Linked DNA regions of Caenorhabditis elegans. Changing the gene in region 1 together with any one later gene gives a genetic interaction. Each region holds a gene or a part of one and is shown on either strand. Other genes may lie near its edges.

Evidence for each region.
Region 2: changes in mec-8 (region 1) and exc-7 are lethal when combined (synthetic lethality), as found in Caenorhabditis elegans (one study listed by BioGRID).

Annotation. Positions count from the first base shown.
Region 1 is NC_003279.8:9,438,155-9,448,991, forward strand, and holds mec-8 (RRM domain-containing protein), read right to left. Parts: upstream 6,074-10,837; 5' UTR 6,042-6,073; coding exon 5,759-6,041; intron 5,231-5,758; coding exon 4,883-5,230; intron 4,645-4,882; exon of another isoform or gene 4,530-4,644; intron 4,126-4,529; coding exon 3,818-4,125; 3' UTR 3,787-3,817; intron 3,365-3,786; 3' UTR 2,856-3,364; downstream 1-2,855. Other genes in the region: C17E4.10 (PRKC apoptosis WT1 regulator protein), read left to right, coding at 348-481, 531-702, 2,465-2,611.
Region 2 is NC_003280.10:9,572,330-9,585,326, reverse strand, and holds exc-7 (RRM domain-containing protein), read right to left. Parts: upstream 9,357-12,997; 5' UTR 9,020-9,356; coding exon 8,960-9,019; intron 7,039-8,959; coding exon 6,861-7,038; intron 6,135-6,860; coding exon 6,031-6,134; intron 5,528-6,030; coding exon 5,374-5,527; intron 5,266-5,373; coding exon 4,974-5,265; intron 4,880-4,973; coding exon 4,456-4,879; intron 4,408-4,455; coding exon 4,249-4,407; 3' UTR 3,792-4,248; downstream 1-3,791. Other genes in the region: Putative UDP-glucuronosyltransferase ugt-58, read left to right, coding at 6-451, 521-833; Membrane-associated tyrosine- and threonine-specific cdc2-inhibitory kinase wee-1.1, read left to right, coding at 1,779-2,028, 2,111-2,613, 2,657-3,019, 3,072-3,362.

The DNA.
Region 1 (10,837 bases):
AAGCCAATTAAATCGTCCAATGGTGCGTTTATGTGTGGTCCGTAAAAAGAAGGAGAAGTCTATAGTAGTACGTTGAGCTTTCTCTATAGAGTTACACATTTTTAGTTTTGTCAGGTTTCTCAAAAGTGAAGGAAGTGTGTTTCTCTAATAATAAGACTTTGAAACAAGACATATTTTTGAGGTAAATACTTTGAATAGGCTAATTTAAAAATTTGAGAAATTTCCATCTGGAATTTTTCAGTTCATTTTTTACACTAAATTTTTGGTCAGTATAATTTTTCAAAAATAAACGGGTTTTTTCATGAACTACTTGAAATATGCTACATTTCAAATTATTTAACTTTCAGATCGCTGCAGTTTCCGACAATCCGATGGTTTTCGGCTGGAATGCTAAATCAAATAAGGAGCAACTGGAGAAACCGACAAGTCTCCCACTTCATTATGAGCTTGAGGCCGATTGTTCAACACCTCGAAGAGCAGAGTGAGCCGATTCTAAAAAATGTTTATGAAAGAAATCTTGTATATTATAGGTTTTCTATGAATCCTGAAGACGATTACGAAAATCAATCAGAAGATGCCACGCCTGCCACGTCATCAGGCGAAGAAGGTGTTCTTCAACAATCCCTTCTTCAACTTCAAAAACAACTTCGAAAAACCGACGTTCGTTGTTCTCGTCTCGAGAAGATTTGTGAATTTCAACAGGTACTTGGTCTTGGCCCCTTTGAACTCACTTTTCTCTGTCAGTTACTCATATTGTTGGGCTAAAGTGGCCCGTGACCTGAACAATTGAAAATAGGTGGTAGGCAGGGAAAGGGGGACAAAAAACTTCGGAAGAAGTAGAGGATTTACAATAGGTGGCAATATAAGTTTGCACGCACATACAAACAGAAATACCTCTTTGACTGCCGTCTAATTACACCTCGGATGACCTAGAAAAATAGTAAAAGAGGGTAAAGATGAGAGGAAAATGTTTGAAAAACGAACGGAACGTCAGTTTTTTTGAAAGCTTTAAGTATTCAACGGGAAAGTATTTCAAGTGCGCTTTTTCAAAATTGGTTAACGAGATAGATCATGGAAATCTTTGTTTTTTCCTAGAAGTATACATCTTATCCAGACGCGATATTTTTCGATTTTTAAGCTAAAAATACGGTTGATTACAAAAAAGGTGTGCGTCTTTAAAAGGTACTGTAATTTAGAAACATTGAAAAATTAATGAAAATTAGGCAGCAACAAAAGCTTGAAGTTACAGTACCCTTTAAAGGTGTACACCTTTATGCATTTGAAAAAAAATTTGTCGATTCGATACCGTATCTTTAGCGCAAAATTTCTCGTCTGGGTAATATTATGGGCTTTAAGACCCCATGAAAAAAAGAATGACCGTGAAAGCTCCAACCCGGCTCTGTGTCGATTTACGCAGCTCGTGTACTTCTCACACTTCTCCTCGAGTAGTACACAAGCTGCGTAAATCGACACATGGTCGTGTTGGAAGTTTCACTACTATTCTTCTATTTCAAATCAAACCCCTGATTTCGAAATTTCTTTCTACAAAATCTGTATGATTGTCAAAATTGGGGAATGTCCGTGTGTAACCCGTGTTCTCCGTCTCTTTCTAGTATTGCGTGAAGTGGATGAGCCAACAATGTCAATCGTATGAGCACAAGGTACTTGGTACCTAATGATCTTTCTTCTCTTTCAATCACTCACTCAGACTCCTTCTCTGTTCCACCCGTGTCAATTGAATACACGGACAATACTCGGCGATTTTCGATTCCTTTATGCTCAACAATTCACAAATATGTCGAGAGAGCGTAGTAGTTTTTATTGTAAATCAAGAAGGAAAGGAAAGAGAGAAAAAGAGTGGATAATTTTTGGTTTATTACACAACTTTCATGTTCATGTCTTCGAAGGACGGCGCCAACTAGGTTAATAACACAGACATGTCAAGTTTGAGCTACAGTAACCAAGTATTTTGAAGTGGCATCTATGTAGAATGTGGAACATAGTAATATACATTTCAGTGGCTTAAAAAATTTAATCATTTGATAGTTTTTGTTCAATCCCAAAAGTTCCGTCTACCTAATTTCCTAATTACCGAACCATTTTAGAAAGAAAATTTTGAAAAAAAAATGAATGCATTAGTTCCTCAAAAAAAAAATCCCCGGAATCATCACACTAGTAGTTTCCTTTTTTCTTGAAATATCGTTGACACGAAACTTCCTGTCCGATTATGGTATGGTTCATTGAAACGAAAAAGACCTCAACATCCCTTGACTGCTGCCACCTTCTCCTCGATTCTCCATCCAAAGTCATGCACACAAATAAGACCTTCTCAACACTCTCAATGCATTTCCGGAGTGTGTGGTGGTGGAGGGGGATCGAGGATTATTTGCATATATACATACTTGGACACTTCCTTCTTGCGCGCCGACTCGCACCGCCAGTTTTTAAAAGTTGATTTTTACAGCGTGACATTGACAGCCTTCGGTTCGAGGTCGACTGGAAGGACAAACGGATCGAATTTTTGCAGAAGACGCTACAGGAAATAGAGACATCAACATCTCAGTCAGATGCTCCAAATACATCAAGATCTACTACAACATCCACATCATAATAATTATTCATTCATATAGGTGCTTTTGTCATCCCATGATTCCTATGATTGTTGTAATCTCTCAATCAAGTCTTTGTTTTATCACATTTTGCCATTATTGCATATTTTCTTTGAAATCTGTAACATATTTCCCGAGCTTTCCAAATTCCAAAACTTCCTACTTCATTCCATTCACCAACTCGCTTTTTTCTCACTTGCTTACGGCTTATTGAAATCACAACAATTCACAACGAAACCAACCAATAAAGTGTATAAATTTATTACAAAAGCTTTTTCAAATTACAACAGAAGAGAGACTGGAATGCATGATGATTGGTGGTAAAAGGGGAAAAAGGATCTTATGAAAAATTAGAACAAATCACAGAAAATTTCAGGTTCGGACAGACAGACAGGTGGATAAGCTCTCGTGATATATATTTACAGAGAGTAAATCAGAAATAGAAAAGATATGATGCAAAGGAGCTCTACGGTCAAGACAATAGAAGTTCCTGTAGGGTGCTTACAAACACTTCGAATTTTGTAAAAATTAAGAGAAAGGAAAATAAAATGCGAATAAAAAGAGATCCGAAAGGATTTTTGGTGATTTTTTGGGAGAGTAAAATGAAAAAAGGACGAAAATGCACTAAGTGTAATGAGAGCGGGTGTACGTTGGTGGAGGTGGTGGTGGTTGTGCACAGGAAGAAGAAGAAGAAGTAGAAGTAGTAGTTGCTGAGTGATGATTGTGCATTTGGTGATGGTGGTGCGCTTCCCAAACTGAAATTGTAAGGATTTGTCTCTGACCCGTTTGATTTTAAAATGAGAGTGGATTGTCGGAGGGGCAGTTGAAAGGCTTTCGGGTATTATTATTATTATTAATAGTTATTATTATTTTTGTCAAGCATTTTATAATTTAATTATGCAGGCGTTGAATTATCACATTTCTGTTTTGGCATCACAGTTGGGTTACTCGTTTTAAAAACTCATTATCACAGTGTTTGAGCTAATCCCTTTCTCTGTGTGATGATAACTACAGTAATCTAGAAGGATACCTGTTAGGTGTGCGCGTACGTGTTAAGTGTCACATACACAAGGATACATAGCAAGTGTGTGAGGGGGATGAATTTTACAAGTTTGGGTGCTAAAAAAGATAAAGAGAGAAAAAGGAAATGGTTGTTCAAAAGAGATATACAACATACACAAAACTGCAAAGAATTCTTGCTTCTCTTCTTATCCATTCACATCAGCCATCTTGTTCCGAGCATATTCAATACGAAGACCACCTCGATCGTTGGCTGTTATCTGGAATCCTTGTAGTGATATCATCGCTTGAGTTGCTTTCTGAAGATCCGAATATTCAACAAACGCCACACATGATCCATTCTTGTTGTGCAGTCGTAGACGTGTGAAACCAGAGAATGCTTTGAATACACCCCGAAGAGTATCTTCATTCACTTCAGCCGATAGATTGGCGACGAAAAGAGTGGAGCACGCAGAGGTGGAAGCTTGAGATGCTTGTTGAGAATGTTGGAGGCTGGCTGAAAATTCTCTTGGCTCTAATTTAAATAGCTATGTCATAGGAGGTCTGGAAATTTTTAAAAAGAGAGAAACAGCTAACGGGGTTGAAGTTGCGAGGATTATGTTCTAGATTGCTCCAAATTACTAAAATAAATAAAGAATACAAAACTATTTGGTTAAGCTGGAGAAACTTTGAGGTAAACCGGCAGCCATAAATTGGAAGAGCTTATTTTAAAAAATAAAGCCGTAGAGATATGAATTCCGGAAAAAATATCGTCACAACTTTTCTTTAATATTTCTCAAATGAGTTTAATGGTTATAAAACGAATTTCCTTCTACGCGGTTAAATTTTCCATATCGAATTTTCTTGAACTTTTCCTATTTTTTTCTAAGAAGTTTTTAAGAAATATTTTGGAATTATTTGGTGATATTTAAAACAAAATCCCGACATATGACAGTAAGTTTTTTTTCTCAAACATACAGTAACCCCGTTAGCTGAGAGACTCTATTTTGAAACTAATGGGATACAGAAGGACTACGAGACAGTTCAGAATAGTGTGATGTGTGATGGTGAGAGTTTCAGTGAGTGGATAGCGTGTACACAGTGATTTGATAGTTGTGAATGTGTGGAACATAGTGATTGTGCGGTGGCTATAGTTTAACCATCGTGATCACTAATTGTGTATTAAGGAATTAGTTTGTGGGAGACTTGTGGGAAATAAAATAATTATAAATTATTTTCTGGAATTTCCAGAAAATGTGATTAGTATTTCTTACCTGCTGCAGCGGCTGCTGGGTGCATTTGAGCAGCTGCAAACAATTGATTCTGACTGTATTGTTGTAGAGCAGAAGCTGGCATATAGGCTGCTTGAAGTGCCTGTGCAGCATGTAAATGTGGAAGTGAAAGAGCCAATAGTTGTTGCTCATTGAAAAGAGCTGCTGATTGAGGATCTAGTAGAAGATCGTGTTGCATTGGTGCCAAAAACTGCGGGACTCCGGCTGCAGCGGCTGATAGTGCCGCATGTTGTGGTGGTGGTGGAGATTGTTTAGGTCGAGCTACTTTTGTGTTCGATTTTGCAAGTTCTAGTCGAAGTACCTGTGCACATTCCGGATCGAATCGGACACCTGAAAATTTGAAGAATTTCGTTGTCGTATGTGTGTGTGTGGGAACAATGTTGATTGGTTTTTTAATTGGCAAAAAAGAAAATGACAAGAAATGCCTACTGTGGTGTGAAATCTTTTGGTTGGAAAGCTGTCAACAGGTCTACCTGGAAAGGAAACAGGTGAAAATCTAGCTAGAATCTTACAAATAAATATTTCAAAACAAAAAAGGCACCTTACAATTAGAGGAATTTGTGTCATATTCTCACTAATCTTATTTAGATTGGTTTTTTTGAAATATCAACAACTTCTCAATCACAATGCCAATGCATTTTTGATTAACTCAAAGTTAAACGAGATATAAGCTGCCAAATTCTAGTAACATGGGAGCAATGCCAATTCGAAAAAAAGCGCAAATTCTAGCGCAAGTCTCTGCTGAACGTTAATTTTGTTACACGAAAGTTGGAGATTTGAGCTAGAAAGATGGCAGAAACTGCTGAAATGTATGTATATCGAACATTTTTCGACAACACGTAAAGAAAACAAATTTACCTTGCAACATTTTTCTGGCGTCCTGCGCATCTTGTTGCGAAAGAAAGGTGACAAATCCGACTGGAGACGTTGGTTTTCCATTCTTCGATGTCATTTTCAAAAGAGCTCCCTCATAACCACGACATCCACGGAACAGAAGATAAAGCTCACGCGGCTTAGCATCCATTGGAAGACCCGAAACAAACAAGGTGCGGACCTGTGATGGATTCGTTGCTTCAGAAGAAACACTGTTCAACGACTCCATCGAAGCGGCCGACGCCAGGTTCGGCTTCGGGCCGTCCATCTTCCGTTTGCGGCTGTTTTCAATCGTTATGGCTGCAACAAAATGTGATTGGAAATGGTGGGGAAACTTGTGAAAAGGGGCGACAAAGAAATAGGAATACATTTAAAAAGGAAGGAGGTGCTAAAGAAGTGGAGTCATATACACGAGAATCATCGTCCGTCGTCATGATGATGGGATGGATGGATGACTATGAAAAACGATGGAAAAAAGGCAAAAAGATGGGAGGAGCGAAGAGGCGATGTCGAATGTTGTGTCGGAGGAGGCACATAAATTGAGCGGAAGATGTAGGGAAGGTAGGAAATAAGAGAGAAAGTAGAGAAATGGTGCCTAGCAACCAAGACGTCGTGTGCCGAGAGCCAACTACAAGGAGCCAATCGGGTTGGCGGGAGAACCAAAAGGAGATTGAGATGGGACATGACATTCTCCTTATACATGTATTTCGTCATAATTAATCATTAAACCAGGCTGTTACAAGGGAAGCTTATTATAGGATTAGAAAATATATAGGAGAGTGGATTTGGTTTATAAAATACAATATTTTAAGAAATTTTTAATATGTAAAAAATCGTGATCTGAGCTTTTGAGCTTTTGGGTAAATTCTAGATATTCTAGCAGGTTGAGACGTGATGGGTTTTTCTCAATCGCCTCTTAACCATCCTACCAGCTATATAATTTTGGGCCTTGCTTTAACGCCTAGTTAGTTTTCAAAGAAGTAGAAAGCAAAATATGTTGATGAAAATCAGTAAGGGGGTGTGAAACATATCCTTTACTACCAGACGATAATGAGATGAAACTGCTCGGAAAAAATAGGGCTACTGTCGCATGCATACAAGTTGGAAAGAACAATGTAATTAAAATTAATAGAAACTCTTCACAAAGAGTTAAACAAAAGAAGGGAAACGGTTTGTCAATTTGAATTGCCGTACCATGAAGCCTTTTTGGAATAACGAAATAGGCCAAAGGATCTTACAGTTTCTTTGCATTTTTATTTTAATTTTAACAGAGCATAACCATACAGTTGAGCTTTCAAGCCACTTAAAGTACAAGAAATTTTCTGAAAATTTTAAAAATTGAATCACTTTGCCATAAAACCAATAGTTATTAATTTAAATAGCGTGATTACAAAAAATATTGAACTAGAGAAACCGTTCGCAGTTCATTTCAAAATTACACACTCACAAACAAATAACTACTGACAAAAAGTATTTTCCCTCGATACAAGACAAGATGACACGACCACCAACACTCCCTTAATAGGAAGGAAAAAACAACTAGACAAGGAGGGTACTGGGGGTGGAATGATTGGGGGATGGGACACTGATAAGAAAAGCATTATTTGAAAGAAAAAAAAAATGGATGGGGGAACTTATTGACAAGATAATGATAATGAGAAAATGTGAAAAAAGGAGAAAAGATGCCACCTGTTGGTGGGGTAAAGTGATGGGAAAATGGGGAAAAAAGAGAAAATTAAAAGTGACCTTCGTATGAGAAATACAAACTGGGAGAGGGAGGTATATAGATAGAGGAACAAGAATTTGGCAGTCAGAAACTAGAAGCTTTTTTGCTTCATTGATGGGTTTTTAGCTTATGCGTGTACTACCTTTAAACTCTCACCTATGGCCTAGAAATTATTCTAGGCCAGTTGAGAGGAAATAAAAAAAGAGCACACGGAGCATCGCCGTGCTCCGGAGAACCCAGGAGAGGGGTGGCAAATGTCATAAATAGAGTGAGAGAGACGCGAGAGAAAATGAGAAGAGGAGCAGAAGGAGTAAGGAATTACATTTCCCTAGTTTTTTGCCTTTCGAAATTTGAGCTTTTTTTCCTTTTGCATAATGGAACTTTATAGCTGATGAAAACTATAGAAAGTATTCAAAAAGCATAAACTTATCAATGTTTGTTTTAAAAGTGAGAATATTTTTTTGCGATAGAGATTGCTGATAAGAAAATTTCAAAGTTTTTGCACATGGTATTTAAATTCTAAAAGTTTTCTGTTTACAAAATTAATTGTATATACTTTCACAAAGAAGGAGAAATTCAATTAATTGCTTCATTGAATTTTAAGTGGGTACGTCATTCAGTTTTAGTCATTAAAGAGTTTCATATAGGAATAATGACCAAGGAAAACGTTTTTGAGTTTTGAAAAGTTGAGTATCATTTCTAGAGGATAAAAAAGGATATAGAAAATTAATTTTTGGAGTGATTTGTCGAATTTGGTAAGTTTGAAAGGGAATTTTGAGTATAATTGGTTAAAATACAAACTTGGCAATTTCAAATTTAGTAAAATGTTCAAATTGAATACTAGTTGAACTAAGAACTAAACTATTTGTACATACACTTATAACATCAAAACCAATGCAAAAAAAGAAATCCAAATCACCGCAAAAAAAGTGCTACCGTCCTTTTTTGGTTCAGTTGACTGGAACTAATTAGACAATGTCTTCTGTCGTTACAATTACCACTACCACCACCACAACGATCTTCCCTTTTGTTGCGAATTGAATCTATGGGAATGTGTATGGACTTGTCATGTTTGTATGGCTGGAGACGACAATACAATACAATAAATCAATTGCAAGAAAGAACGCGTTTGGCAAATGCAAACAACTACAGGAACAATTTCAGGAAAAGAGAATAGTAATCATAACATTTTATACTTCGGTTCATAGTATTGATTAATAAATAAAAAGCTGTAGAGAGCGAGAAATAAAAAATGTTTTGTTTATTGAATAACTTTTGGTAAAACAAATTTTAGCAATTAGGATTATTCTAGTCGCGGAAAGTGATCTTATAAACTTGAAGAATTTCTGTAATATTTTGTAAATTTAAACTCAATGCGGAACTAAAGGAAAAGGTTAAAAATATCAAATTTTTGAAAATACAGTCCGACTCTAGAATGAATGTTCATGACGATAACAAAGGGATTTGGAATTTGAGATTTCAACTTCATCTGGACACCGATTTTTTTTTAAATAATAAAAACAAAGTAGGCTGAACGTTCATTTTTTAAATGATCATCCATAATCCGGTCAATACAAAAAAACCAGGTAATGCGATAGAGGTAAAGAGAGAGAGACAGAGAGATGAATACGAGGAGAGGATTGTCGAGTAGAATGATGATGAGGGAACCTGGGGCGGGTTGGGCTAAATGTATGTCTCGGTCTCTCCGCCTCCATCTATTCTCCATCTGACGACGTCCCGTCCCGTCAGGTAGAATTTAGAGGAGAAAAGAGTCATAGTTGCGCGGGGGGCCAAAGACGGTGGAAAAGGACATGAAGACTGTATCGGTCCAAGGTTGTTCTGCCATTCGTAGAAAATGAGACGACGACGAGAAGATATGCATCCGATATATTATGGATGTATGATAATATCGAATAGTACAGTCGCGCAGGTGAGTCTGGTCCTCCTAGTATGGACAGAAATAATTATTCAGGTAGCTCTTAAATTATGATTTGGGTACTTTTGCACCGCCACATGCTCGAGCATAACTTAAATATTTCGAAGAGAAGCTTCAAGTTCAGCTTGAAGTGTCCTATAGTTATAAAATAATCAAATCTCCCAGTGAAACTTTTCCAAATATCTCCTCTGAGAAATACAATTATATTATGGAAACTCATTTATTTACAATGAAACGAGAGAAGTTCAAAATGATAATTAAAAAAAAAAACTTGCTTGGTAAATTAGTTTTAGAATAAGACATATTGTCTAAAAATTTCAGATCACATGAAATGAATATACTTATATAAGTTCTTTGAAAGTTGTGGTCATTTAAAAAAGACACACATACATACACAAATGAGAACTATAAGTTACAACAATACCGAAAGACCGGAAATACGAAGGGGGCAATACTTGTTCACATTCATCTCTCAAAGGTACACATTACGTGAGCGCACATTTCTTACCAAATCATACACAGGCTGAGACAGTCTTACTTCTCTTGTTCTCTCACTATCTCACACTACAGGCACCGCCCTTCTAGGATCCGACAGTACCTACACGCGCACTCTGGCGCCTCCATCACTTTAGTTATGCGTGAAGAATGCCTACACCGGTGGTATTTCTCGAGTGTGGCGTCGGCAATGAGAATGAGAATAAGAAGAAGGCCGCCCGGTTTTATGTGTCTATTTGTATGTTTCTTTTGAACACACGCATAGGTAGTGTCGAATTATGAAGATGATGTTGAAAGAGAGAAAGGGCAAGATGATTTAGATTCATGACAATCGGAAGGAGATATCACGAGGGCTTCGGGATTTACGGTGTTAGCACAGAAGCATCAACAAACTAATTTAACGAGATGTACATAAAAACCTTGTGACAGTTCCTGTGTTGAAAATTTTGAGAATATTCTATCACCCGCTCTCCAAGGGCGACGGGGAGTGTTGAGCGTTTTCATTGCATCCATGGACCTTATTAAAGTGTTAGATTTCAGCCATCATGTTCCAACAAAACAAATCTCTGTTGCGGAACTTTCAAATTTGTAACCAATTTTCATCACCGTAGCTGCACTTTCAAAAATGCGTAAAACATTTTTGTTGCACAGACGCGTGATCAAAACCCATAAACCTATTAGATTCACACATAGTTCGGAGATGTTTGATCTACAGCCGACCACTCCCTTCTTTGCGCGGGATCCCGGAATAATATAAAAAGGGGATGAAGGGCCTTCAAACCAAAATGCAACAACAGTTTATGCAAACTAGGAGGCAATTTTCTTATAGTCGGATGGTCTTTTGATACAGTAATTGATCCATCTTAGGCAAAAAGGGATTTAATTTTATGCCTCAAATAGTTTGTAA
Region 2 (12,997 bases), on another chromosome or scaffold:
TCCAGGAGTTTACCTCTTGGATCTCAGCCTATCCTGACGGTTTCGTTGTGCTCTCCACTGGGTTCACTGTTCAATGGAACAAATCTCCGGAGCACATTCGTCAAGCCTATCTGGATACCTTCAAGTATCTTCCAAATCTCTTGTTCATTTGGCAAACTGGTCTACCAAATTCTTCAAACTTGCCATCAAATCTACTCGTCAAGCCATGGCTTCCACTTCAAGACCTACTAGGTCATCAAAAGTGCCGATGCCACGTGTCACATGGAGGATTGAACAGTGTCATTGAATCAGTTTATCACGGAGTTCCAGTTGTTGGAGTACCATTGACTTCTCGTGGTTATGATAATTTACTGAGAATCACTGCACGAGATAGTGGAGTCATGGTGGAGAAATCGGAGTTCAGTGGGGAAATATTGACTGCCGCTATTAATGAAGTGATTGAAAATGAGAAGTGAGTACATTTAGTTTGATTTCAAAAACGGAAAATTCAGAACGTTCAAATTCAAATAATTGTTTTCAGATACAAGAAGGAAATGTTAATCTTCCAAGATATGGTCATCGATGTTCCATACACTGAACTTTATCACGCTGCGTTTTGGGTTGAATTCATCGAACGGCACCAGGAAGTTCCACACGCTAGAAGTGGAGCAGATCATTTGAATTTTCTTCAATATTTCCTCGTTGATGTCATTGCCTTCTTCTTCTTTGTCATTTTCTGTACTCTTTCAATTATTTATTACACAATTCGGACAGTTTTCCGAACGATTCGTTCAGTGGTGAACGGAGTTCGGGGAGTTCCTAAAATTGTTTCAAGGGGAAAGAAAAACAATTGATTCATGCATTCATTCATTTCGTTTTAATTAGGATTTCTAGGCATTTCTATGGCGACCTACGGGTTTTTTTCCAAAATTTGATAAACTCTGTGATAAATACATAATTGCTGATGATCAATTTTTTTGAAACTACACATTTAAAAGATCTGCAGAAATCAGTCATATTGTGGCCACATTATGGAGAAATTGATGCGGGTAGTATCTACAAAGAGAATATACTTTTTCAGTTTTGTCGGTGACTTCTTGAACATAATTTATAGTATACGTTTTCATGGTTCTGTTTGCGGTTGGCGCAAAGAATTCACAAACTTGGTGCATATTGCATGTTCCGGCTCACATCAGATCAGAAACTTGGTACCTTCAAATTTTTTTATACAAATAAAATTTTCATCAAGTGCATCGTGAATACGAGCTGGCAGGGTTTGGCAAGTTTCTTTAGAATAAACTGACAATGCACAGAGTTAATTTCTGCTAATTGTTTGAAACATTTTGACTGATTGTGAGTTCATAAAGTTCAAAACTCTTCGTAATATTTGAATGTGTTCTTTCTTATTTTTTCCATCAGAGATATTTCTAGAAAATATACATACAACTAGCGTAATATTGAAAGTATACTTTTTGATTTAATCAGTCGGCGACTTCTGTAATTTTGTCTAAAGTATACGTTTTCGGTGTTCTTTATCCGGCTGGGCCAAAGACCTTGCAAACTTGGTACCCGGCCCATCTTCCAATTTATGGCAGCTCACAAACTTGGCACCTCCCAATGATGAGAGGCTCCACCCACTTACAACCAACTCGTCCGCCCCCCGTTGAGCTCACATGCTTACTCTTTCATTATTTCTTCATTTTATTTTTGTTACTTGTGTCTATTTTACTGCTGTTTCCGTTTTCTTCTTTCATTATTTATTTAAAATTTTCCATCGCTTACTTCTTTTTCAGTTTAACATGAACTCAGTTTTGAGTAACATCGAAAAACTGGATACATACATTCTCCGACGAAATGAATATGTAGCTGAGTCTAAAGACGAGCCGAACAAACTAAATACCAGCCGAAAACTGGAAGTCACCACGAAGAAGAATCAATCAAACAATAAAAAAAGACCGCCACCTATAAATAAAGCTCGAAAAAGTCTACCAAGTATTTTTAGAAGAGCTGAGGAAAATAAAGATAGTGCCCAAATTATCACACCAACTGGTAAGTATTTTATCTTTTTGTAATATTTTAGTGTTTGTTTGCTGACAATTTTAGCATGTTACTAAATTTTTTTTGTTTTCAGGAAGTAAAATTATTGGGAGCCCCTTATATAAACGATCAAAATCGGATTCATTTTTCGACCACGCATTCAATTTTGATAAAAATCTTGGGAAAGGCTCATTTGGAGAAGTCGTTGCAGCAACATGTCGTTCAACTTCAAAGAAGTTTGCAATCAAAAAAATTCCATTTTCAAAACTTTCAAAAGATCAATATCGCGAAGCATATGGACACATGAATATTCCATGTCACCCAAATATTGTGAGATTCCACCAAGCATGGATAGACAAACAAATTCTTCATATTCAATTGGAAATGTGCGATAAAAGTTTGGCGGCATATTGCCATGGAATTGATTGGCTGGAAGACAAGGAGCTTTGGAATGTGTTCTTGGATATTTTACAAGGATTGGGACATTTACATAATAACTTCATGCTTCACAACGATATCAAACCAGACAATATATTTATGACAAAGAACAAAGTTTGTAAACTCGGAGATTTCGGATTAATTTCGGACATGAGATCGGTATGTTTTGTAAATAATTTAAAAATGCACATAAATATTACAGGAACCAATCAATAATTCTTCAAATAAACATTATCAATCAGAAGGCGATGGAAAGTACTGTTCCAAAGAAGCAATCAATGGTACTCTCTCAATCTTCAGTGATATATTTTCATTTGGAATATCGATTCTGGAAGTAGGAACCAACATTCATCTACCGAGTTATGGGACAGGATGGGAACCAATTAGAAAATGGGAAATTCCAGAAGAAATATTGGAACCAATGTCAGATGAACTTCGAGAATTGGTGAAACAAATGATGGACAAAGCCCCGACACGAAGACCAACTTGCTCTGAATTAATGAAGAATCATGTAGTGAAAGAGAAGCTAAGAATAAGGAAACAAGAAGTTGAACATATTCCTTCGGTTAGTATATTTCAAAATTTAATCCCATAAAATATTACATCTTACTTTACAGGAGTCGCAATTTCAACCGATATCCTATCTCACAACAGAAAGTCCATTAGGATCACGGGAATCATCTTGCTCATCTATCGATTTTCTTGACCATTTTGAAAATGCTGAAAAAAAGACACCATTTGTGAGTAAGCTGAATTTCGATCTAGAAGATGATGAAGACGAGTATGAAGTCTTCTCTCCACCAAGAACTCCTGTCAAAAAATCGCGATACCAACAAACAATGCCGGAAGTCAGTCCACCCAGAAAGATTCAAAAGTTATTCCAACGGAAAAATTTATTTGATGAATAGGAAGGGAATGTAAGTTAACAGGTAAGTTTGCTCTTTTTTCTTTTATAAAATTCGTTTGTTATTTTGACTTTTGAAAATTAAAATTAGGAAATTAAAAAAAAGTTATTTAGAAATTAACATATCTCAAAAGTGAAAATAGTAATTAGGTGTTTGCAACATCTTAAAAAGCACATTTCACAATTAATAAACTTTCAATTAAAATTGCAATAAAATTACGGGGGAAATTTTCAAAATGTCAATTTAAAATAATAATTTAATTTTCAGGTCCGTTGTTTTTCATTCAGGTTCAATCGGTTAAATATCAATTCCAGTTTTTAACATCTCATATCATCGATTGGTACAAGTTCTTCCAATCAGAAAATCGAGTTCAGTTTTAATCATCAGCTTTGTTCTTCTTTTTTCTATAAAATAAATTATTTATCACTGAAATTGGTATACAATTTTTATTATACACATTTTAGTTTTAATATTTCAAAAAATCTTTGTAAAAGAAAAACAAGGAACCCAGTATAAAAATCAGAAAACTGTACGAAATACTGAAAAGTGACGGAGGATTTGGCATATTTTAGGTAAAATTGATAAAAGTTTTGAAGATGTTAAAGCTGATTCAAGGTTTTGGGACAGGGGTGGGCAGAAGCTCATTATTCTCAAGGGGCGTGGCTTATTTCGTTACCGGAATTCGATTGGTTTTGCTCACAGTTGCTCATGAAAGGGGATGGAACACAATGGGGGGGGGGGGGGGGTGACTAGTAGCACACAAAAAGTGACTGGAATTTCAGAGGGGGAAAATCACAATTTCTTTGGTTGGGGAAGAAGAAGAAAATGAAAAGAGAATGGGAGACAAGTGACTGGAATGATTGAAATTAGAATATTTTTGCAAAAAAGTTTAAGCTCGATATGGAGTTGATGACTTGAAAACTACTTGAAGCGTCTTTCCAGCCAAATTTGTGCCATTCAGAGAAAGCATTGCATTATAGGCTTCTGTGTAGTTGCTCATCGATACAAATGCATATCCTTTGCACTGTTGTGTCAGGTCTCGTAGAATCTCAAATATTTCAAGTAAAAAATTTTCCATTTAAAATTTCTTGCTTACCTTAACATTAACAATTGCTCCAAACTGTGAGAATAACTGCCATAACAGTGTATCATCAGTATCTGATGAAAGATTATATACGAAAAGGCAATATCCAGCAGTATCTGATGGCGGTAACGTGGCAGCAACTGAAGCTGACAATGCAGATAACTGAGCATGAGCTGCTAATCCAGCAACTTGTCCATTTGTTGCCGGAGGGCTCGCTGTTTGTGCAGCATGTTGTTGAGCAACTGCGTGTTGTTGTTGCTGATGCGCTATTAATGAAGCTGTGAAATCAGGTACGGCTGTTGCTGTGGCAAAAGGGTTCAGGCCAGCAAGAGCATTCAACTGAGACATCTGAAGAAGCGCAGAAGTTGTCAAATAGTCAGCAGGAAGTGTAGCGGTTGGCTGGGATACTGCAGTGATGGCGCCCATTGGGGAATATCTGAAATATTGGAAATTGGTCTTGAAAATGTAAAAAGAAGAATATACAAACTTGAAAATACAATTATTATCAATCAAGATTTCTTCGGGCTTACCTGTACTTTGAAGTAATTGGAGCATGGTGCATCGGTCCGATTCCTCCAGCAGTTGCTCTCAGCGTCGGTGCTCCAAGAATTGTGCTCAATGGTACCAGTGTTGTGGCGGCTTGCTGTACGGCTTCCAGATCACTCAGCAGTCCTTTCGGATTGTTACTTGCTGGATTATTTGCGAATTTCACTGTGATTTGCTCTGAACATCCTGATGGAATACTTCCATTTAGTGTTTTAATTGCAACATCAGCTTCGTCTTTTTTGTCGAAACGTACAAATCCAACGCCTTTTGAGAGTCCTGAAATAGCTCTAATAAAAAATGAAACAAATTATATTCCGTAAACAATCAACTATATTTTTCTTAATTTTGAAAATTTACACATTTCACATAATTTTAAAAACACACCAGTTACATTATCTGACAATATTCGAGATGTGATAATCTGTCCAAATGGCCGAAAAATCGATTCCAATTCGTGCAGAGTCATCGATTTTGGAATTCCAGAAACATATAAGTTTGAACCTTTGATTTGATCATTTGATGGACGGGCATATGATACCTGAAAATTTCAAGTTATAGATTACAATTTTAATATTCTAAAATTTAACTTTGTATTTTTACCAGTGAATGTTTTTCTTTTACATATATGAAGAATGCGAATTTTCAAGTAAAAATATAATTAAACATTTTCTAAGCGTTTTGTGCACATCTATTGCTCCTATTAGTGATTGTTTGAAAGACGTGAGACGTTTAACGGACGTTTAGACACACATTTAGAAGCTAAAATCATTATAAATCGGGAAAGGGGTTTCGCGAAATTAAAGTTGAAATTAAATTTTGAAATTAAAATATTAAAATAAAAAGATTGAAAACTTAAAACAAAAATTGCACAACAGGAGCAAGGGGGTGTTTTCTAATAGTCAAAGGAACACCCAAACAATTGAAAAATTAAAAACTTTTTTTGAAAATAAAAAAGAGTGAAAGTAAAGTAAAAGACAAGTAGCATGTAAATCAACTAAAAATAATAATATTTTTCCGAAAAAAAAAAAAAAAAGTTGACACCTTGATCGTCTTATTCTGCAATCGTAGGCCATTGAATGAGCTGACTGCACGAAGAGCATCCTCTTCTCGGACGTAATTAACAAAACCGTAACCAAGGGACTGTCCTGAAATGAAAAAACACCAAATGCCGAAGAGAGAAGAGAGAGAAAGAGTGTGAAAATATAACAAAAGAACAATTATTTATAGGTTACGGGTTTAGATTTTCTGATTGTATTTGTAGAGCTCTCTTTCTGAAAAATAATCTCCCTACATCTTTTTGCTACAAACAGTTTGCTGCTTATTCTAAATTAGTTCACATGATTTAATGGTATGAAACTATTCCAAAAAAGTATTTAGATATCACAACTTTAGAATTTTAACAATCCCTATTCAAAAATGTTTAGCACAAAAAGTGAATGTGAATTCTTGGTGTACAATTGTGTGTGTGTGTGAGTGATTTTGAAAAAAATAATGAAAAGTTGAAACGAATATCAGAACATCACGGAAAAAAGTAATAACCGAAAAATGAAAAACTTTAGGGGGAGTAGGGCGGGCGGGGCAGCAGCAATCACACACGCACACATGTACAGATTTACAAAAATCGATCCGAAAGAAGAAAATAAAATTATTTGTGATCTATCAGAAAAGAGGCGTCAAAATCTAGTTTCATGCTAAACTTTTTCGGCGAGACACAAAAAACGGTTAGAGCAACTCAATTCGTGGTTGGGAATCAAAAATCAGTCAGAAATAAAAATGATAAGGCAAGGGGTGATCTAGCTAGATAATGTTTGGATTTCGAAAATATATAAGTTTAAAATAAAATAATGAATAATATAGAAGTTCCTCCTCACCTGTTACTTTATCTCTGACCAATTTACAAGATTCAATTTCTCCGATCGATGTGAAAAGGGACCGAACTTCTTCTTGTGTCATTCCTTGTGGCAGATAATTGATAATTAAATTTGTTTTTGATTCTCCAATATCCACATTTGGCGCGGAGCAGTATCGTTGTGTACTTGTGTAGGTTGTCTGCAAAAAATATAAATTTAAAATTTAAAAGCGATTTTTGTATAATGGTCCCGGTTTTTCGAATGAAAATCTACGATTTTCAGATGTAAAAAATTCTGAACTCCCTAGATAGAAGTCCCGTTTTTGTCAATTTACATAAATAATACACCTCGTATATTTTCGGGTGCCTAGCATTGGTGAGAAGCGTCGGTAACCCCGGAAATTGTTCATTTTTTTCATTTGGGAATAAATAAATTATTATGTTTTTCTGCCATCTTTGTCCAATCTGACTATATATTCCATTTTTGGAGGTTACATCTGACCCAAAAATATTTCCCCTATGATTTCCAATCTTTCATTCCACCGGGAGATCTCAATTTTCAATTTCAATTCTTTTCTCGCGCGCGGGAGGGCTCTTCGGTACAAGTAACCGGAGAATTCATCCATTTCGCTGTCCATTATTTGGCCACGTCTCAAATTTCCTGTGCGTGAGCAAGTCTATATGGAAGAGATGGAGCCCCCCGCATGTTCTTCCCACCTCCTGGTGTGCTCACTGGAAGAGCAACAATACCCATGGGTATTTGAGAGGGAATAATGTATGAAATGAAATATATGCAAACGTTTTTTTCTACGCTGTTGGAATGAATAGACTTTAAGAGTTTTTTATAGGATCTTTGATTAAAGAGTTCCATATGCGTTTTATAGAAATAAAATTTTGAACCGTCCGGTATTGAGGAGGAACGTAATTTAGCAAAACTGTGATATAAATTCTAGTAGATTTCGAATTGAATTTTCACAAAATTTTAAAAGTTTTTAAATTTTAATTTATAGGTCTTCTATCAATTTTTTGAAGAAACACTTCAAAAAAACTGAAGAAAATCGCTGAGTTTTAGAATATTCCATATATATAGTACCTCTAGAAATTTAAATTAAAAAAAAAACTTCGTTTCTACCAATTTCATTAGTCATATATTGCACAATTATGATATTGTTAATTCAGCTATATTTTTTCAATAATCAAAAAACTTTTTAGAAAAAAAGAAAACAATTTTCAACAGGAAATCTAAAAATCTAGTATTCTCTTGTTATTTTTCAATTTTTCTCTCCATATTTTAATTTTCATGTCATTTCCACTCCCATCCACCAACACCACAACACATCATCATAATATAGGTGGATGAGCACGCAGGAATCTGAGCTTCTGAGCTCTTTCACAAAACAAATATTTTTATTTTTGGTCCTTATTCCTCCCTCATTCCTCCCTCAAGGCGTAATGAATGGGACGTATTTTCGAAAAGGAGTGGTTCGGAAAGGCGGAGAAAAGAGAAGAAGAGTAAGGAAGAAGGCTTCTCGGATTTTGAAAAATTGGCATTTGGGAATTGGGAAGCTTTCTTGAAAGAATGACACGTCAAATGCACACGCATGTATACCAAGTTTGGACTCGGGCTCACTGACGGATTGGACATTGGGGAAGAAACAATATTCAGATTTATGGTTATTACTAGAATTCAAGGCTCAACAATTTGTTTAGCTTTTAGATCTGAACGGAGCCTAAGCATCCAGTTTACCTAGTCCGAATTTTAAACAACTGTCATGATCAGGTTCTAAAAGCTTTTTTTAAACTTTTAATTTAACTAATAAAAAAACCATTCACAGTTAGAACCTGTAACAAACTTACAGCTCTTCAAAATTACCGCAGTTTACTGTTCTACTTTTAAAATGTGTATCTTTGCTATGGTTCTATATTTTATTAGTTGAATTTTTGTTGATAAAATCTTAGGCAACCAAAATATGAAATGTTACAGTCGAGTAGATTTCTGGACTTTTTGTAGACCTCAATGTTCAAAGATTTTGAAAACCGTATTTATTTTTGTTTTTTTTTTCTACTGCTTCTGGACTTTCATATAGATCTTTCCTAATAAAAATTGAAAAAAAAAATTACCTGAACGGGACTCGTCGGAACATTGTTGTTATTCGGTGTTAGCAACGCTTCCATCGTCATTTTGAAGACCGAATTTTGGAATTCAAAAATTCGAATTTCCTATCCAAAAATGCGTCGTTCGTTGTCTTCTGAAGTTGACACACCACCACTTCTTCCACTTGGTCTGTCAGGAAACAAAAGAGGGCTCTTTTCAAAAAGAAAGAGCTCCGGTTGTTGTGAGAGCAAAGAGAAGGAAGAGGAAAAGGGGCTCAGGGGGGCGGGGGGCCCGTCGCGAGGATATATGTAGAAATATGCACAAATGGGCGTGGCCTATTTATATTTTGTGTATGTTTGTGTGCCGCGGCTCCCCGTATATGCTCCGTTCGTTTTGGGCCGGCCGAGACTAGGGGAGATGGATCTGTAATTTCATAGGTTTGATAATTAATTTAAAAAAACATATCAGAGAGCAAGAAAAATAGAAGTGAAATAAAAGTAAATGGAAAACGTTTAATATCAGTGAAACTTTACAGAACTAGTTGTACACCATGATTTTTCACAATCCTACTCCACTCAACTGAAGCTGCAGAATTATGGCAGCGCACAGCATGACATACCTATACTCTGCCACTCAATTCCCTGTTGTTTTCAATTCTAATTAGCTTTGTTATTGGTTTACATAGACGCATGAATATATCTCATTGCCAATGAAAAGAACATTTATTGTTTTTATTATTGCTGGTATGATGCTTAGTTTCTAAATACCTGTGTATGTGTGTAACAGGTAAAATGGGAACTGTACGGATTATGAGGTAGGTAAAGTTTTAAAAAGGCAGATAAGAAGCCGAAAGACTAGGAAACAAGAACTACTAGAAATTGCAGGAAACTTTCCACAATCTATATAAAGGAATTCAGTTGTATAAGATTTTGGATCATGTGCTCAGACGGAAATGAAGGAAACAGGTGAACTTGACACATTATATGGATACGTATACACGCCAATTACGGCTTGAATAAGTGTATAGTGAGGGTCCAGACATTACAAGAATACAGTGTGAAAGCTGAATTTCATAATTTCCAACATCATAGAAAAAAGAATAAGAGCGCATCATGATTGAGGATTTTTGTGAGGGCAGGTGTGGAAACAATGGTTGATCAAACATGACTGACCTGGTTAGTGAAGGATATAGGGGAAAAGGATTGAAGATGACACGTATTTGAATAGGTGTTCGGTAAGAGGGAATACGTGAAGCCCGGTGGAAATTTTGTGGCTCTGGGAAGTTTGAATTTTTAAAGAAACGTAGGGGCTACGAAAGAACGAGTTAAATAAACCTATAGAATACCATCAACCATTCTACAGTAACCCTGTTACTTGCTCCGATTCCAGTTTTCTTGAACTGGAAACACTCCATCGCAAGTTTGCACCATCTAGTCAAGAAAATATCCAAATGCTTCTGCAATTTTGCAACAAAAAAAAAGGATTCCGCTGATCTTGAGAATATCCCAAAACCTGTCTAAGCACAAAACTTTGGCAATTGGTCACTATGGAATGCTAGGAAACAATAAAAAAAATCGACATCATTGTCATCTCAAAATAACTACCATAGAAACGGTGATCGACGATGAAACGCACTCTTCAATTGTGGTTTTCCATTAGTCCTCTTCTTCACCGCCTCTCGTCCCACCCCATACAAATACACACGACACGCACAGTTGAATGAACAACAAAACCTGAATAGGTAGAGAGGGGGACTCAATTATGTGTTAGTTAGGTAGAGGGGGGTGGCCCCCATATTGTTGTGTGAAAAGTGGTGCAGAGGAGAGGGCGGCCGGATGAGAGTACGTACCCCCGCGTCGGCGAGATTCATAATTGCTCAGGCCCTTTTACAGGATACAGTATTTCATGCCTTCGATCCGTTCCCAATAATTAGGTATGGCCCTTCCATTTGGACTTTTGGTTTGAGATAAATGACTACTAAGTACTTCAAACTACATTTAACCCTTGCGATTTTGGACTTTTCGGGAATTTCGGATTTAGGGGTTTTCGATTTCACAAATCACGGATTCAAAGACTGTAAAGTTCAAAGCACGGTCAATGGAGGATATTTTCGAAAGTTTACTGCAAAACTTGACTTTAGAAGAAGGAGATCACGATCGGATTTAGATTTTTTAACTGATACAAATTGCCAGTAGGAACTTTTAATATGAAATGCATATGATAATGATTTTAAACATAAAGGGTAGGATAGTTCCTTATCTCCATGACAACACGGTATTTAGGAGCAAATTTCTGTCAATCTGGCAAGGTTATTAGAAACAGATATAAAATTGCTCCCAAACGCCGGAAAGGGTCATTTTTTGAAATATTTTTATTGGTTTCTGAGGAAGTAAAACTACTAAAAACGATAAAAGTTCTATTCAACCATGGAAAAATGATCTATAACCAACTTATATGTAAACTGACTGAGTAGCGACTCTGTATCATAAGCAATCTAGTTGTTACCCCTCCAAAGGTCCAATAAACAATAAAAGTTGGATAAGTGGAATGGGTATAAGTGAATATAAACGAATGCGAATAAGTGGTGGATATCGTTCGCTCGTCATAAAAACTTTGATCTACCTCCCACCAACCATACGGATTTCATATAAAACATATAGATATTGGTTATGAGAGAGAGACAGAGAGAATTAGAGAGGTAGAGAGAGAAAGACAGTGAGAACTGTGTGTGACCACACACGGAAAAGTAGAAGATAATGAGGATGATGATGATGATGATAGAAATGAAATGAAATGCAAAACTAGATTTTTCCATCCATCTACACCACAACATTCCCCCGCACATGATTTGAAATAGGGGAAAAAGAGACGAATTTCGGTTGTTATTATGGTTGATTATATGACACACATAATGTATTGGATGACAGTCTGTGGGATTATCTAGCGTCTGAAAAAATGAAACTGGTGAAAAAACACTTATAGACTTGGTTTTACTGGCACATGTGCCAAAATAAACTGATCTCGTGGTTTTAGTCTCAATGATACGGTACCCGGTCTCAGAAATTCATACCAAAAAAATCATACCCAAATTTAGTTACTAAAAGTAAGTTACTCTTTGACGTATTGTGACATAATTCTAGGAACAAGTTTCTGTTATTTAACACTAAAGAATTAATGTAAAAATCAGTTTGGCAGATGATTCAACACTGACAATTCGACAAAGAGGCGAGAACGGGCGGTGGTAACGTCGGCGAGAATATAAAAAAAATTACGGAAAATGAGTGGGGGAAACGAACGACAAAACTAATACACATTCATCGACACATGTGGAATTGAAAGGAAAAATCGTTGGCAAGGAACACAAAAAATTTTGAAATCAAAGTAATGAAACCCACGACAATGAGCAGATGAGAAGAGGAGGAGAATGAGAATGTAATGAAAATGATAAAATGAGATTTTCTAGGAAAAATCCGCTTGGTGTGAAATATTTCAGTTGATGTGTAAGAGATAGAAAGTCACTTAGCGACATCACCAGGCAACATGTAGAATAAAGAAAGAAACCCTCCAGAAAACATAAGTATCGGTTTATAACAAGAGTTGTTTTAAAGAATTGGAGAGGTGAACAACAATGAAGAAGTCAACTAGACGTTCACTATGGAAACAAGTGTTACGAGACGCAGAGCGCAATACACATGAATTCAGGTGGTCTAGGTAACAAATATTTGAGATCTAGGTTTGCACTGAAAAGTTAGGTAGAGACAAATTGGGTTCTACGAGAATTTATGCCATGGAAAACTTGTTAAACAAAAAAGAAACTTGAAGAAATTTTTAGAAAAGACATTCCAGAAACCTAGTAACTTCGCACCTCCAATGTTATAACCACCTAGAAAACTTCCGTGGATAAATCTGCCGTAATCAGCTAGGCAACTTGGTATTTCCTCCTAACCCAATACAATACGGAACGCTTCAAAAAGCGCGAACCGCCAGCAAAAACGAAATGGACATATAAACAAGACAAGATGTTGGTGAAAATAGAGAGGGATAGAGGGAGAGAGAGACCAATT